Schizosaccharomyces pombe: one gene and its partners. Changing the gene in region 1 together with any one later gene gives a genetic interaction. Each region holds a gene or a part of one and is shown in the gene's direction. Other genes may lie near its edges.

Evidence for each region.
Region 2: mutations in SPOM_SPBC1348.12 (region 1) and rga2 together harm fitness more than expected from each alone (negative genetic interaction), as found in Schizosaccharomyces pombe (one large-scale study listed by BioGRID).
Region 3: mutations in SPOM_SPBC1348.12 (region 1) and vps5 together harm fitness more than expected from each alone (negative genetic interaction), as found in Schizosaccharomyces pombe (one large-scale study listed by BioGRID).

The regions. Positions count from the first base shown.
Region 1 is NC_003423.3:33,324-37,233, forward strand, and holds SPOM_SPBC1348.12 (DNA-binding transcription factor), read left to right. Parts: upstream 1-1,788; coding exon 1,789-1,848; intron 1,849-1,887; coding exon 1,888-2,289; exon of another isoform or gene 2,290-2,324; intron 2,325-2,424; coding exon 2,425-2,560; intron 2,561-2,604; coding exon 2,605-2,802; intron 2,803-2,910; coding exon 2,911-3,266; downstream 3,267-3,910.
Region 2 is NC_003424.3:3,347,402-3,354,405, reverse strand, and holds rga2 (putative Rho-type GTPase-activating protein Rga2), read left to right. Parts: upstream 1-2,147; coding exon 2,148-5,837; 3' UTR 5,838-6,303; downstream 6,304-7,004. Other genes in the region: cnt6 (centaurin ADOP ribosylation factor GTPase-activating protein), read right to left, coding at 1-1,421, 1,713-1,837, 1,876-1,891; Sm snRNP core protein Smb1, read right to left, coding at 6,845-7,004. UniProt on the Schizosaccharomyces pombe protein: GTPase-activating protein for Rho-type proteins.
Region 3 is NC_003421.2:700,777-705,519, forward strand, and holds vps5 (retromer complex subunit Vps5), read left to right. Parts: upstream 1-1,820; 5' UTR 1,821-1,830; coding exon 1,831-3,561; 3' UTR 3,562-4,042; downstream 4,043-4,743. Other genes in the region: TATA-binding protein-associated factor TAF6, read right to left, coding at 1-615, 774-905; xks1 (xylulose kinase), read right to left, coding at 4,197-4,400, 4,452-4,743. UniProt on the Schizosaccharomyces pombe protein: Required for efficient sporulation target of PtdIns(3)P in vesicle transport required for onset of the forespore membrane formation. Plays a role in vesicular protein sorting.

The DNA.
Region 1 (3,910 bases):
TTTTCTCTGAATGAAAATAATCGAAAGATTACCGAAAAGCTATCGACTGACAACAAAAGCGATTTTTCACATGATTCAAAAGTAGATACGAGAATCCAAGTTCCATATTTGGTTACTTGGGGTGGTTTAAATGACCCTTTAAATCCTCGAAATTGGTCATACACTAGAAAATGGTGGGTCGTTATTCAGGTTTCCACTATCACGATAGTTGTAACCTTCGCTTCCAGTGTTTACTCCACTGGTACAGTTGAAATATCGGAAGATTTGGATCTTCTATTTTAGTTACCACTCTGCGAACGTGCACATTCTTGGTCGGTTTCGGTGTAGGCTCTATTCCATTTGCTCCACTAAGCAGTATATACGGAAGACTTATTGTATACATTGGAACTCTGCTTGTCTTCATTATTTTTCAAATCGGTAGTGGTTGCGCTAGCAATGTTTGGTCATTAGTCATATTCAGGTTTCTTCAGGGTTTTTTTGGAAGTACGCCTCTAGCAAATTGCGGAGGAACAATTAGTGATATATTCACACCGATCCAACGTACTTATGTTCTTCCCGCACTATGCACCTTTCCATATTTAGGTCCCATAATTGGACCAATTATTGGCAATTTTATTTCGCAGAGCTATTTAGGATGGAGATGGACATTTTGGATCAACATGATTTGGGCTGCTACTATTCTTGTGGTTGTGTTCCTCGCATTTCCAGTACCTCACGAAGATACCATCCTTGACTATAAAGCAAAACACTTACGTAAAACAACCGGTAATTCTGCATGGTACACAGTTCACAAACGCGAACGTGATCCAAAAAATGCAATTGTTCAAGCTGCTACTCAGGCGGTTTCCCTGATTTTCACAGAACCTATTGTGGTGTGTTTTACATTATATTTAACTGTAATTTATGTTATCAGTTACATAAATTTTGAGGGATATCCTATCGTATATGCCAAATACGACTTCAATCAATGAGAACAAGGATTATCATTTATTGGTGTTGGGGTAGGACTGGCTGTTGCTGGCTCCTGTACCCCATTGGTTTACTGGCATTATTTAACAACTACTAAGAAAAGAAACGGTCTGACGTGTCCGGAAGACAGGCTTTATCCTTTATTTATTGCATGTTTTTTATTCCCCATTTCTATGTTTTGGTTCGCTTGGACTTGCTATCCCAATCGTATCCACTGGATAGTACGGATCATATCTAGTGCTTTTTTTGGGTTCTCTCTATTGGTTATATTTTATGTTTGTTATAATTACATTATTGATTCCTATCAGCATATGGCGCCAAGTGCATTGGCTGCATCGACCTTAATTCGGTATAGTGTGAGCGGTGGCATAACTTTAGTTGCACGCCCTATGTATTTAAATCTAGGCGACCACTGGGCTACAAACGTGCTTGGATTTATCTCGATAGCTATGATACCTATTCCTTTCATCTTTTTTTCGTTTTGGTAAAAAAATCCGTGCGTTTAGTAAAAACGCTTATAAATTTTAAAGACTTAGTTATTAGCTTGAATTTGAAATTTTGATTTGAGAAAAAGTTTGATATCAGTTTAAGAATGTTAACTATTGGAAACATATGTTTTCTTAAGCCATTTATTTGCAATCTAAATTAATAACAATAAGTAAAATGTCTACATTATTATTACTTAACCATTTTACTAAACATACATAAGAGCACATTTATTAAGTATTTGAAAAATACCCATCATTAAATACATTGTTACTTTCGTTAAAGTTTGGTTAGTCGTCATTACTAATATGAAGTAACTTCAACGACAACTACATGCATCTTAGTAAGGCTTCTTTTTTATTTGATTGTAGCAGATTTATCCTAAATTTTCATGTGTAGGTAGGAATTCCTTGAAAAAATTTATATTAAAAGGAGCGATGTTTAAAAAATGGCGTTCGTACAAAAAAGGCCTGCGTAATATGTCGCTCTAAAAAGCAAAAATGTGATGGGCAACTCCCTTGCCTATATTGTAAAAAATATGAGTACCAATGTGCTTATGAGGGCCAAGCGACTTCTACCTGTAATTCCGAGGCATCCTTGTTCAATGATGCGAACTTTAAAATCGGAAGTGATTACAGGTCTAAAAGAATAAAGGTTGTTTCGGATACTAACAATAATAAAGAAGATGGTGACGGGAAGTTGAGTTTTACACAATGCAATCCAAGAATGGATATTCATCATGAAGCTGAGAACTTTACAGCTATGGTTCCTTACTATGAACCCAAGAAATTTCGATTTTTTTATGAAAATAGCGCCATAGTATTTCCTCGGATAGTAGGAGAAGGACCAAAAATGAACTACCTTTCTCGTTTGCATTCATTTGCATGAAATGCGGGAATACGCAGTGAAAAAAAAAACCATGTGTTTCCAAAGTTGACGGAACTAATAACTAAAGAAAAATACTTAAAGTACGTATTTATATATTTTGAAGAAGTTCATCCCATATTTAGCATGTTTGATCAAAAAGCCATGGAGAAAAAGATCCAATTCTTATGGGACAACAAATCAACTGATAGCTGCTCTGAGTACGTCGTGATTTCAGTAAGTATACTAGGATTTTTTTTTCGTCCGATTCGGACAAGTCTTTAGAGGGTAAACTAGTAGAGCATATAACGCAAGTTTTGGAGAGTTCACTGTCGACCACAATTTTATCATCGATTCAACTTACAGTTTGTTGGGTTTTAAGAACAATTTACTTACATGCTACTACTCGTCCTCACCTCTCCTGGATTGCTTCTTCTGTCTCCATGCACTATGCAGAAATTGTAGGACTTCATCAGGAGATAAGTAAAATACGGGTAGAGAATGACAAGGATGGTGAAGAAAACAACGATTAGATTTTTTTGTCAAGAGAAAAAAATTTTTGGATTGCTAGATCCTTAAATTGGATTTTAGCAGCTGAATACGGAACGAGGGGAATAGAGTTAACGAACATAACAACCCAAATGGTTGAAGAGGATGGACCTGCTTATCAGCTTGTATTGTTATTTAAAATCATAATGGAGTACCAGATAATATCAGAAGATTCAAGATTTGTATATTTACAAGCATTCCAAAGACTGGACCAGCTTTGTGACATTCATTCACCAGCACTTGTATTGCTAAAAGCAACGGTATGTTTTCACTTGTACCGAAACTTATTTCTTGCAAGAATTAAACCTTTTTGTGTAATTGTATCCATCCTTTTCTCTGTTATCGACAGAGCTCTTGAAAGCTGCAAGCAGTTAGTTTCTCAAAGGAAAGCGTGGTAGGGGATCGTGGATGTTCCCTTTCATGCTATTTGCGTATTGCTATCCATAGATACTATCGAATCTATGAGTATTTAGGAAAATCTTTAAGAGTATTACAGGAAATTGCCGATACTTTTCATAGTCATATGACTCAAGAGGCCCTTCTCACTGCTTGTGGTTTGTGTGAAGGCATGAGGAATAAAAAACTTAAAGAAATAAATATACTCGAAACTGAATATTTAAGTGATGTGAAGGTTTTAAGAGATAATGAATTTGAAGATCATAATTACATAAATTTCAGTTTTAACGATATATTCCTTGATATGTTTGATTTTGGTATTGTACGTAAAATTAAAGATAAAAATGCTATTCTTTTTATAATAGCTAACTCTAAAGGAATTGAAAGAGTAATAACTTTAATTAATAATAAATTTAGAACTACTAGTAAATATAATCAGATTATTAATAATATATTTGCTCAACCTAGATTTAAAGAATTTAGTAAAACTATTAATTTAAGTTTAAACACATTCCAACTGAGTGTTTTAAATAACCATTGGCTAGCTGGATTTTCAGATGCTGATGCTAGTTTTCAGATTAAAATTTTAAATAGGGACTAAAAAATAGAAGTTCGATTGAACTATCAAATAGATCAAAAAAAAGAG
Region 2 (7,004 bases), on another chromosome or scaffold:
CTACCCCCATTAGAAATGCACTTTCCCTTTATCTCCGTTGTAAAATTGCTTGTCTGGCTAATATCATCTGCAGAGGCTGCCATGCGACGATTTGGCATAGGACTCTGTATTTCATGTAAAGGGAAAGAAGGGGAAATCGGAGATGGTGAAGGCGGTGCCATGGACTTTGGACGACCGCTAGTTTGAATTACCTGGGAACGATGCATCTCTCTGCCCTTGTCACGTCTGGTTGTACTCCATTTTGTTTTTTCAAGTTTTAAATTGAGTTGCTGAAGATTCGGAAGAACACTATTCATCAAATTACTAAAAAGTGCAATATGGTCATATTGGCGATGAAAGTACTGCAAAAAAATACCGTTAATATCATTAATAATGGAACCATCGTGAAGGTCTTGCATAAAACAATAGTAATCATATCGTTGTAAGGCAAACGTTTTCTCTTTTTGAAAAAATTTAGAGTCTCCTCCCTTTTTGTCCTTTTTAGCTGATAGATAACGCGACAAAGATCCATAAAAGCTTTTGCTTTGTTCATCAAATTCAAGTCGTCTATCATCAATTGGCTTAATGAAGCTTGAGTAAATGTTATGAAATGGCTCATATAAAAGATTAATTAAATCATAATTAAGTTTTTGTATAAAGGTGGCATGAATGTCCATAGCCTTGGTTAAATAACTGTCCAGAAGTATGTCCATATTCATACTGGTGCTATTAGAAGCTTCCGAAAGTGTCTCTGACAATTTCATAACAGCAACTTGCGATGCATCGTATGCATCACTTAATTGGACAATACGTTTCATTATTTTTTTGCAATAATACTTCATAAGAGATGATTTTTGCTCAAGCTCATGCAACATAGATCGGAATGACGGTCCATCCTCATAATTCTCTGGGAATATAACGGTCTTGGTATTAATCAATGAAAGCTCCGTCTTCGCTTCCGGAGATTGAGGAGGTTGGGTTTGTACCGTCTGGCTAGTAGTTAGCGGCGACGTGACACGCTGGCTTTCCGAAAAAAATGTATCATCCATAGAATCACCGCAACGAGATACGGTGTAGTAGCTAAATTTTGAGATACGTTCAAGAGTACAGTCTTCAGTAGAGTAAACGGCTATGCAAGAATAGTTTTTGCATTCATACTCCAGAAGTTTACCCGAAGGAGGTGACCACTCCCAATGATATCTGATATTGGCCGCATTTGAATCTGGTAAAAAAATTTCATGTACATTATCCGAAGAAATTAAGTCTGCATATTTCAACTTCTGAGCAAAAAAAGAATCAAACGATTGAAGCGATTCGCAATGGATGAGTACAAGTACTTTCCTCTCCTTCTGCAACTGGAGAACACGATCACTGAATAAAAAGTAGAAGTCTAGCTTGTTTTGAAAACTAAACTTAGGGAGGCACTCTTTTGATGTAGAATCCTAATTTTTACAAAGTTAGTAAAATCGTATATGGAAATAAGAACATCTTCGAGCAACACGAATGCACAATGGGCTTGCTCCAGTTGCTCCTTTTGGATAAAATCATAGACTATATCTGTTTGTCTTGTAGTTATTGTCATTCATTAGTCTGTGTTATCCAGTTCAAAAGAATGGACTTATAAATAGATGTAAGAGTGATAACTATTTTTTGACAAAAGAATCGACACTATTAAATGTGTCTATTTTAATATTTTACTCAATGTTCAGATACTCTTAGCTTTTATATCATACCAAAACCATGTCCACCAATTTTCCTGATGAGCTAGATATTGACTCTAGAAACCCATCTTCTCGGGCGCGGAATGAAATGGTAGAGCCATTGTCTAATTTGGAAACATCAACAGATTTCAATAAAGCTAAACGTTAGTAACGAAAGTAAAAATATTAAACATACAGTCACTTCCGTCCATTGCCGGGTCAAAGGGCTATTAGTATAAATTCGGTATGAGAACCGGCAGCAAAGCTTGAAGGAGTCTCAATCAAAAATTTGAGGGTTCTCAATACGAAGCTGCTTGTTCTCTTCGTCAAATGGTAAAGATGGATGTTGTGCGGACGACAGGTTTTTTCTTGCGGTCAGAGCCCACAACTTGCCGTATCACCACTTTCGCATATTCTGCCGAAATCATTTATTTTCATGCAGAAACTACGTTTCTATTTGAAAAAATAATGAAAGAAGGAAATGAATTGGAGAAGTATTCAAAAATTGAGCTGAATTCAGAGATTTGGGAAGATGAAGAAGAAGAGGATAATTCTGGGATTGTATCTCAAAATGAGAGATTAATGAAGCTAGTGAATAAGCAAAGAGAAATTATATACGAGCTGCATAAGGACTTGGAAAAAGTAAAAAAGGATAATACTTCATTACGCATGCGACTGAGTAAATATGAGTCTACAGACTCATTTCCTTCTAGTCAACCGTCCAGAGCTAATTCTCCTCAATCGGACTCTTATAGCTCTCCATATGAGAAGGGGAAATTATTTCCCAAGATTTCTTTGAAAAGTTCCAAAGACGTACCTACTGCTTCTGCTCACATTAGCTCTTCAGACCATGAAAAATCTAGTTCTGTTTCGTTATCTGCTTTAAATAATTATAATAAAACTACCGATATCAAGGCCAGGTCGTTAGACAGATTGTCGGATATGACCAGACCAAAACTTTTATTGAATACGAAACGCTCGCACCGTTCATCTGAAGAACCAGGTGCATCTTCACCAGTGACATCTCCAATATTAAAAGACAGCCAAAAGGAACGGATACAGGCCCTCCGAAATAAAGCAATCAAGACTTATTCGGTATCAACTGAGTCAGCTGAACGAATTGATTCTATCCGTTCTGACAATTTATCACCTTTGTCATTAAATACATCTTCTTTTCGTAGGCCAATTACAAAGCCAACTCCATTTAACTCGGACAGTAATATTTCTATTGATCCTAAAGATAACAATTCAAACAAACAAGACCATTTTGCTGAAATTGAGGACGAACTTCGTCAACAATTCTTGGACATAAAAGTTGGAAGAGCTAATGCATCATCGCCTAGGAGAAAAAGTATATCTATTGTAAAACCGCATGGTATATCTTCCCCAAAGCATTCTACTAATAATTTAAGCTCGAAGTCAGGTAAATTCCATTCTGATTTTCGAGTTGTTTCCGAAAATGTTCTTTTACAAGCTCGAAGTGAAACGAATTCTCCCATTATTGAAAATAAGGAAGCAAATAATTTCTTGGCTCCAACCTCAAATGTTCCAGCATATTCAACCCCTGCGCGTCCTACTGAGAGTCCTCCACCTCCGCCAATTTCTTCGTCTTCTACCACACCTAGGCCTGATGACAAACCTAGCCTACCTCCTCGTGGACTTTCAGAAGATAACGATTCTTTGTCTCTTCAAAAGACTGGCTCATCCGATACAAGAAGGTCCTCATTTTCTACCTTGAAAATACCTGATAGTGACATATGTTTTACACGTCGCCGGTCGGATTCCAACAGAACTTGGACGGTCATCGATCCTCATCATTCACAATCTTTTGATAATGACATTCTAGCAGAAATACCAACATCGAAACTTGATAATTCTAGCCAAAAATCTCCAGGAAAATTGTCTTCTAAAGGGTTACTCAACAGCTTCTCACCGATTTCGCCATTTAGCAAGTCGAAATCTCATAACCATCATCCATCAAGTCAAGTTGAAAAATCCACGTCGAATTCCAAAGGTTCTATGTTACCTTTGGATACTTTGTACAACAATAAGTTGAGCTTTAGGTTGGATGAATCATTAGTCCGTTATCTTCGTTTCGAGCTTATGAAAACCAGTTTGGCTTCTTTATCTCCAGATTTTGATTGCATAGGGTTGCAATTCGTGGTCGGTGTCTCTGCGAGTTCACATTTAGCTTCACAATGGAAAGATGAAGTATGGAGTTTCACAAGGAGCATCGGAGAATGTCGTTCCTTTGCTACTTCTTTCGTCTTAGACATCGGCGCACCTCCTTTCCCTACTCTTGATTGGTTTACAAATGACTCTTCAGTAATTCAAAACGAATTGTTACGCCGTTCTGTCGATACCTATTTTCGTTATATATTTCAAACTGATCTTAAGTTGGAACAGAGGATCAAGTTACTAGAATTTTTGTCAAGTGACACTTTACGAGAATACCTTCATGATGTATTCTTTCTTCCTCCTGAGCATGCTCAAAAGGAGGGGGTACTTTTGAAATACATTGAAAACAGTGGTTTAGTTTCACGTTATTTTTATTTAAAGGACAATATTTTATATTTCGCTGAAAATCGAAATTCTCCAGTACTTGGTACAATCCATTTAAAAGATGCGCAGGTGAATCGCTATAATGCCAATTTACCTATATTTTCTATCATTGATCCTCCTCATGAATTTTTAACTGGTGAAAATTATCAATCCGCTTTTGTAATTCAGGAAAAACAAACGGAAACGCGAACGGGAACTGCAACTGTTCACGTTCTTTTAGCAAGAGATGTTGAAGATCAGAAGAGTTGGCTGCGAGCCATACTTCGACAGGTTCCTGGCTCTACTTCTCCTCTCAATGCTAGTCCCTTCTCTGTATTATCTTCTGATTTTCCTGGATCTTCTCGTTATCGTGATCAATCTTCTCCTATCCGTTTTTATGGAAAAGCAGACTCAAGACCTGTAAGTCAAGAAGCAATTTTAAGTCAGGATATATCCAGCTCTCCATCTCCCGTTTTACCACCGTCAGAAAATGTTGCTTCTTATGCCGATGATTCTTTGGTTTCAAATTTAACCATGAGTCCTAAATTAAGGGATTCAATGGAGCAGGTGCCTTTAGAAAATCATAGAGAGTTTGAGATTAGTGATCGTGTTTCTGAGTTGTCATTCGACAGTAGTACGGGAAGTGTTTTAGAGATTGCTGACACTAGACGAAACCAAGATGCTCCTGAAAAGCACGTCCCCGTGATAGAAATCCAGTCTTCTAGACCTTCGCTGGAGAAGACTGACCAATCTACTCCTGTAGAGTTATTGATCGATTCTCATTCTCAGAATTCGCAAAATGAAGAAAAGAGATCGAGAATGAAATTTTGGGCGTTTCCGCATCATAAGGCCGAAAATTACGAACAAATATCTGATACGAATATACCTGTGATCGAAACAAATGTAATGCTTTCACCAAGTTCGACAACAAGTGCTGAGCCATTACAGAAACATATTGTCCGTAAGTCTGGAATATTCGGTCTTCCTCTTAATGAAGCGGTGAATATTTCTACTCAATTCAATGACAGCGGTTTGCCAATTGTTGTCTACAGATGCATTGAATACTTGGAATCATGCCGAGCCGAGAAAGAGGAAGGTATTTATCGGTTAAGTGGTTCTGCCTCGACAATTAAACATCTTAAGGAACAATTTAATGAAGGAGTAGATTACGACTTGCTTTCGTCAGACGAGGAATTCGACGTGCATGTAATTGCTGGACTTTTAAAGTTGTATTTGAGAAATTTACCTACCAACCTCTTAGACACTTCTATGCATAAATTATTCGAACTGTTACCTAATGTTCCTAACGATTCTGCGGCCCTTGGAGAACTTTGCGATGTTATTAGCAAACTCCCTCCTGAAAATTTTGCCCTTTTGGATTCCCTGTTACATCATTTGCGTAGGATTATTGCTTTTGAAAAAGTTAACAAAATGAACATTAGGAACGTTTGTATAGTGTTTTCTCCTACTTTAAATATCCCTTCGGATATATTTATGATGCTTATCCTTAACTATGATCATATCTTCACAGATATTTCACGACAAACGAACGGAGCACAAAACGAAAGCGACTCTGATGTTAGTGATGACAATGGGGAGGATAACGAATTTTTCTAGGAATTTAACGTCTACAAATTGTCAACGCTTGAGACGGTTAGTTTACTTAAACTTTCAATGGTTGTACGTGTTTTACTATCCCTTTGTCTTTCGTCTTCCTGTTCATTCCTTTATTGAATTATTTCTTGTTTTAATGCTTAGAGACACAGGGATTCTCCAAATATTCGTATGTACGGCAGTCGTCTTAGTACGATGTCGTTAATTTACTCTTTCTTTTAAAAGTTTTAATACTCTATAACTATTTTAGCCCTTCGTTTGTTCATTCTTTTCTAGTTCTTCTTATAACTAATTTTGGGCAGGTTTTTTATGATTGTATATTCAATTTATGTTGGAAGCTCGGGTTTTTTCTTTATAATCTTCTTTTATTTTTATTCTTCTTTGATTAGTATAATGAATTGTCGTTCTATTCTTGCTATTGAGCGGTGATAAATGAGCAATATTATATGTTATTTTAAGTAAAATTGCTAACATTAAATATCATAAACTAATCTAGTAAGGGTCATATAGACATAGCTAAGTAAAACGTATATATTCACTCTTAGCTGAATATCATTTTTTTAAAGGAATGCTTTCGTACAGTTTTGTTTGATATTCGAACTACCAAACAAAAAAGATAACACTGTTTTGTAGATGATACCAAACTGACGACAGCAGACCATTTATGGATAATTTATGCCTGTATCACCTAATCCATAACAGCATTGGTAAACAGAGTTCACGATAGTCGCATAAGCATTCTCGCTGAGACTCTCATAAAACCTCGGATTAGAAAATGAAAGTTGGAAAAACTAATTTATACAAATACACAAAAGCAAAGCGCCTACTATGATGTTATCGAATGAGAATAGTACCGATGAGGTTCAAGTCAACCGATTCGTAAAAGCAGACTATAAAGCTTTTTAAATAACCAAAAACGCACTAAAACAAAAATCAGATGTTGATCGTGCTATTAATGAACGAATAGTGGATGCTCTGTGGTGAAAGAAAACGAATCAAACGGAACCATCCTAAACAGGACGAAAACCCGGGGGAGGGGCACCACGTCCAAAACCAGCAGGTGGTGGAGGAGCAGTATATCCAACTCCTCGCACAGGTCCTGCCAAACCAACGGGCGCTTGACCAAGAGGAATACCACGACCAGCAGGTCTGGCGACACCCGGCCCACTC
Region 3 (4,743 bases), on another chromosome or scaffold:
TCCTAAGTTTCGAGTTACAGAATCCGATAAAAACATTATGAAGTATGGTAAAAGTTGGTGTAATCCGGGGTCGTCACGTAAACTCGATAGGGCAGCATCACGGAGCTCAACATTAGTTTCATCAAGCAATGCACTGGTAATACGCTCAAAATAAAGCTGTAACTCTTTGGATAGCACATGTCGCACCAACGGTTTTATCTCAACGTTGTCCATCGAAGTGACACCGTTTCGAGCTTCTTTAGCAGCAGTTGAAGCACCTGGCATAACCCCTGAAGTACCCTTGGATGCCCATTCTCCAACTGTGTGATCTGAGGGAGTTGGATTTTGAGGAATGGCTGGCTGCACACCTTCGATGGCCAGCCAGTGTGCACTGTAAGAAATGTTTCTAGGGACTTTAGGGAGAGGAGCGTTTATGATTTTTTCAAAATCCACTTCCTCATCATCAAGGTAGTAAAGGGAATTTTGGCCTGCACCTACAGCGGCTTCATGAAATTCTAATGGACGAGAATTATTGAAGCCGTATAACGGCTCAACATTCAACGTCCGTAACGCTGAAGAGATATCTGCGCTAGTTAAAACAGTTCTTTTAGAATGAACCATAAACTTAGTGGCTTCCTAAATCAAATACTGTTAGAGAATTATGTTTAATGTCAGAATAAAGCAGACTATCTAGCAAATTGAAAGGCATCGTAAAAAACTAGCAACAATTTTTTAGTTATTTTAGCCTCTTCCAAAGAAAGTAAAATCTCATAGTCTACTTTCACGAAACCTACCTGAACCACCTGATGAATTCTATATTCGAGATCCATTGCAATAGCTGCTGCTGGTTCATCGGCAAGATTGCCAATCCCAAGCATTTCAGCAACATCTTTGATGGATTCAATATTCCATACTGTCAAGGACATGACTTGGTAGTAAGATGAACGATTTATGGATCAATGAGTGAATTGCATCTGCAGAGAAGTAGTTAACGATGTTAGAAGCAACTGCTTTATTTAACATACTTGTCAGCAATACTACACTACGCTATAATACACTACGTTGCGTATCACTATATGTCACATGTTCTAATTATATATCGTACCATGTATGATACGATATGGAGATTGATCTTAATGATAATCTATTAAGATCTATATTATCTGAATACTATAAATAGAGCTACTGCTGAACCTCGTTCCTCAGTTCAGTTATGAGCTATATTAGTGATAGGTAACATTATAACCCAGTTAATACAATACCTATACTCAGTTGCTACTTATACAACCTGTGTATTGTAATATAATAGATCACAAGGAAAACTCACCGCAGTTCTACGTATCCTTAAATCAGATACCAAACTGCGTAGCTTACAAGACAGTGAGCTACACTAAAATCGCTATTAAACATTACGTTACGCATCAAAATACACTACATGGAATACCAATTAATCTCAATTTGTTGAACAATAGCAGAAGACTATATGTTTGTTTACTAAAACATCCATTGATATTGATATAAAATAGTAGTTAAAATTAGAAGTCTAGATTGAACAGAGCATCATTCTCAGTCCAGTTATTAGCTGTTACAATGATAAATATATTATCACCCACCACTCACAATACTGTATAACGCAATATACTGCTTCTACAAGCTAAATATAATTTAATGTAGCCTTAAAAGGAATTAGAAACTTGAATTGTTGACACTTATCTAGTTGCACCGCAAGTCACCCCGCATTGCTAAACGTATTTAACCATCGTTATTTTTCGCTAGTCGTCGTTGGGCTGCGCATCACCATTTCAGGCACGATTTCAGTGATCAGATCCAAAAACCCAACCGGCCACCATCATGCTTGGGCATAATATATATGAAGAAGACGATGCATTTAATCCATTCGCAGATTCCGTTTCTCCACTGAACCCTCCAAAAACCGACCAAGAGCCCTCAGCTGAAGGAGTGGAAGAAGAGTCGCCGAATGTTCAAGCTTCTCCACCAAAAACTCATATCTATACATCTCCTAGGAAACGAAGCGTCAATTTGAAATCTCTTCCGTTTGAAACGTTAACTTTGGATTCTGCACCTTTAGGTCCCTTGCAATTTTCTGATGCACCTTCTATGGCACCCGAAAACAACCGTTTGGAAGTTGGTTTAAATACAAAAATTAATCCGTTAAAAGGATCTAGTCCCGCTTTGAATGCAGATTTTTCTGCAAATAAGCCTTGGATCTCAGAAGTGAACTCCTTTTCCCCTTCTCCTATCGGAGCAACGGAAAATCCCACTATACCAAATTCAGAACAGACGGTAGATACTTTAGACGCTGCCTCATCTTCTGCTCCAAATTTTACACACACTGTCTCATCTGCCTCCTCCCAGAAGCAAGGTTCAACCTCATTAACAGATACGGAGAATCAGAAGGCGCACCCGGCAGCGGCACCTCAATCTCTTACCCCGTTTTACATCCAAGTTCATGACCCTCATACCGTTAAGGAAATCACTAAATCGCATACCGTATATTCGGTTTCCACTCGTTTAGAGGAACACAATCAACCTTCTGTTAGCAATGTGACTGTACAAAGACGATATAATGATTTTGCTTTTCTTTATCAATTGCTTTCTAATAATCATCCGGGTTGTATCATTCCTCCCATCCCGGAAAAGCAGGTTGTAGGCCGTTTTGATGATGAATTTATTGAACAGCGACGAGCAGCCTTGGAGGTAATGCTTCGCAAAATATCTGCCCATCCGGTTCTACGTGATGATTACTCATTTAAGTTGTTTCTTGAAGCAGAGACATTTGACCCTAGAATGACACATCGTACTACTCTCATTGAGAGTTCATCAAGTCCTTTGCGCTCAGGTCCCTCAACATCTGGTTTACTTGACTCATTCACCTCCGCCTTCCATACCTCTGGATCTTCTAAATTTTCCGAACAGGATCCAATTTTAATTGAAGCAAAGGATACACTTGATTCGTTGGAAACTCAACTAAAGTCGGTTTATCACGCGCTTCTTTTATCCATAGATCAACGCATACAGTTCGCTTCAGCCATCCATGATTTTGGCGAGGCTGTTGGAAATTTATCTTTAGTTGATTTAGAGCCCACCTTATCATCCAAGTTTGATGGTCTTTCCCAACTCCAGGTAGAGCTTCGATTTGTACAAGAACGTAAGGTTGCTCAAGACAATTTGACACTGGGCACTACATTGGAGGAGTACATTCGGTACGTGGAGAGTGCCAAAAATGCCTTTACTACACGTCAAAAGTTGTGGCAGACATGGCAATCTTCAGTTCAAGCTGTTTCTCGTGCTAAAACTCAACTTGAGAAATGTAAAAAGCAAGCGAAATCTCAGCAAAAATCACTCCCTTACTTGGAAGAACAATACGAAAAATATCGAGCAAAAGCTGCTGATCTGGAAAAAGAGTTTTCGGAATCAACAACTCTGTTAAAACGAGATTTGAGTTCTCTCACAACCAGTAGAGTTGATGATCTCAAAGCTAGTGTTGAAACGTGGTTGGAATCTGCAATTGAATCTCAAAAAGAAATTATTGAGCGTTGGGAATCATTTTTGGATCAATAACGACTCTAATTTTCCCTATGCACTCTTTTAATTTTTATGTTTTTCTTTCGTGTAATATTTCTATCCCATATTCGTATTAATGTATTTCCAACTACCGCTTTATTACTTTGCACTTCTCTAGCTGACGATTTCTATTCTATTCTAATTATTTTTTTGCAATTTCCCTTTTCGTCCATGGTACTTCATTACTTGAAAAGAAAATGTACCTTAAAATATTGCATTCTATCTACTAACCTTACAGCAACCCTACACTCCTTTGTAAATAAATAACTTGTGTATGTTTTTAAAAATTGTCTTTGTTACTCAAGCCTTTTTATATTTGTTTATGTTTAAACGCTTTTTCCTGCTTAAATTGTGTTACTTATATGTAAAAGCGTATGCAAAAATTTGTTTAATAATATGGTGTATGACTACTTTATGTTACATATTTATTTGTCTTAATTTAGACTCGTGATTCAAAGCTCTCAAAACGATAGCTCAAAAAAATGTTCATGTAGGAAACGTTTATCATTTTGTATCCTAAGGTTTATTCATATTTTTTAAAAAAAAAAGTGGATTTCGCTTTCATTAATAATCTCGTTATATCAATAGCTAATCACATAATCAAGTGCGAAATGGAAAAGCATTTAATCAATTCAATGCCGGATATCTGACTGTTGAATCGCAATGTCTTCAGCCTTTTTGAGGAAAGGTAAAAGCTTTCCATATTCTTCATAAGTTTGGGCGGATGGTTTATTCATGATTAGTTCAATTTTCTTGGACTCATCCCAAGATTTGTTTACATATTCTTCAAAGGTAAATCCTTTTCCATTCATTGCATATGCAGCCTTGATAGCGCCCTAAATTGATGGTCAGTAACTATTAATTAACAACATTTTCCGTTCACTTACGCCAACAGCACAGGCATTACTACCGCCGTGTTTTAGCCGATAAACATCACATCCCAAAACCTGGCTAATTTTAAACACAATAGCCTCGTTACGACTAGCTCCTCCTACAACATAAACACGATCAGGTTGTGGTATACCAGTTAGCAAAGGAGTAATCCGCATGCGGATATCAAGATTTTGACTTTCAACTATGGCAGAAGCATCCTCATCTGGATAATCCCATGATTCTTCATCTTTATCCACCTGATACAACTCGGTGCCTTGGATTGCAAATCTCCACGTACCCGGTCCA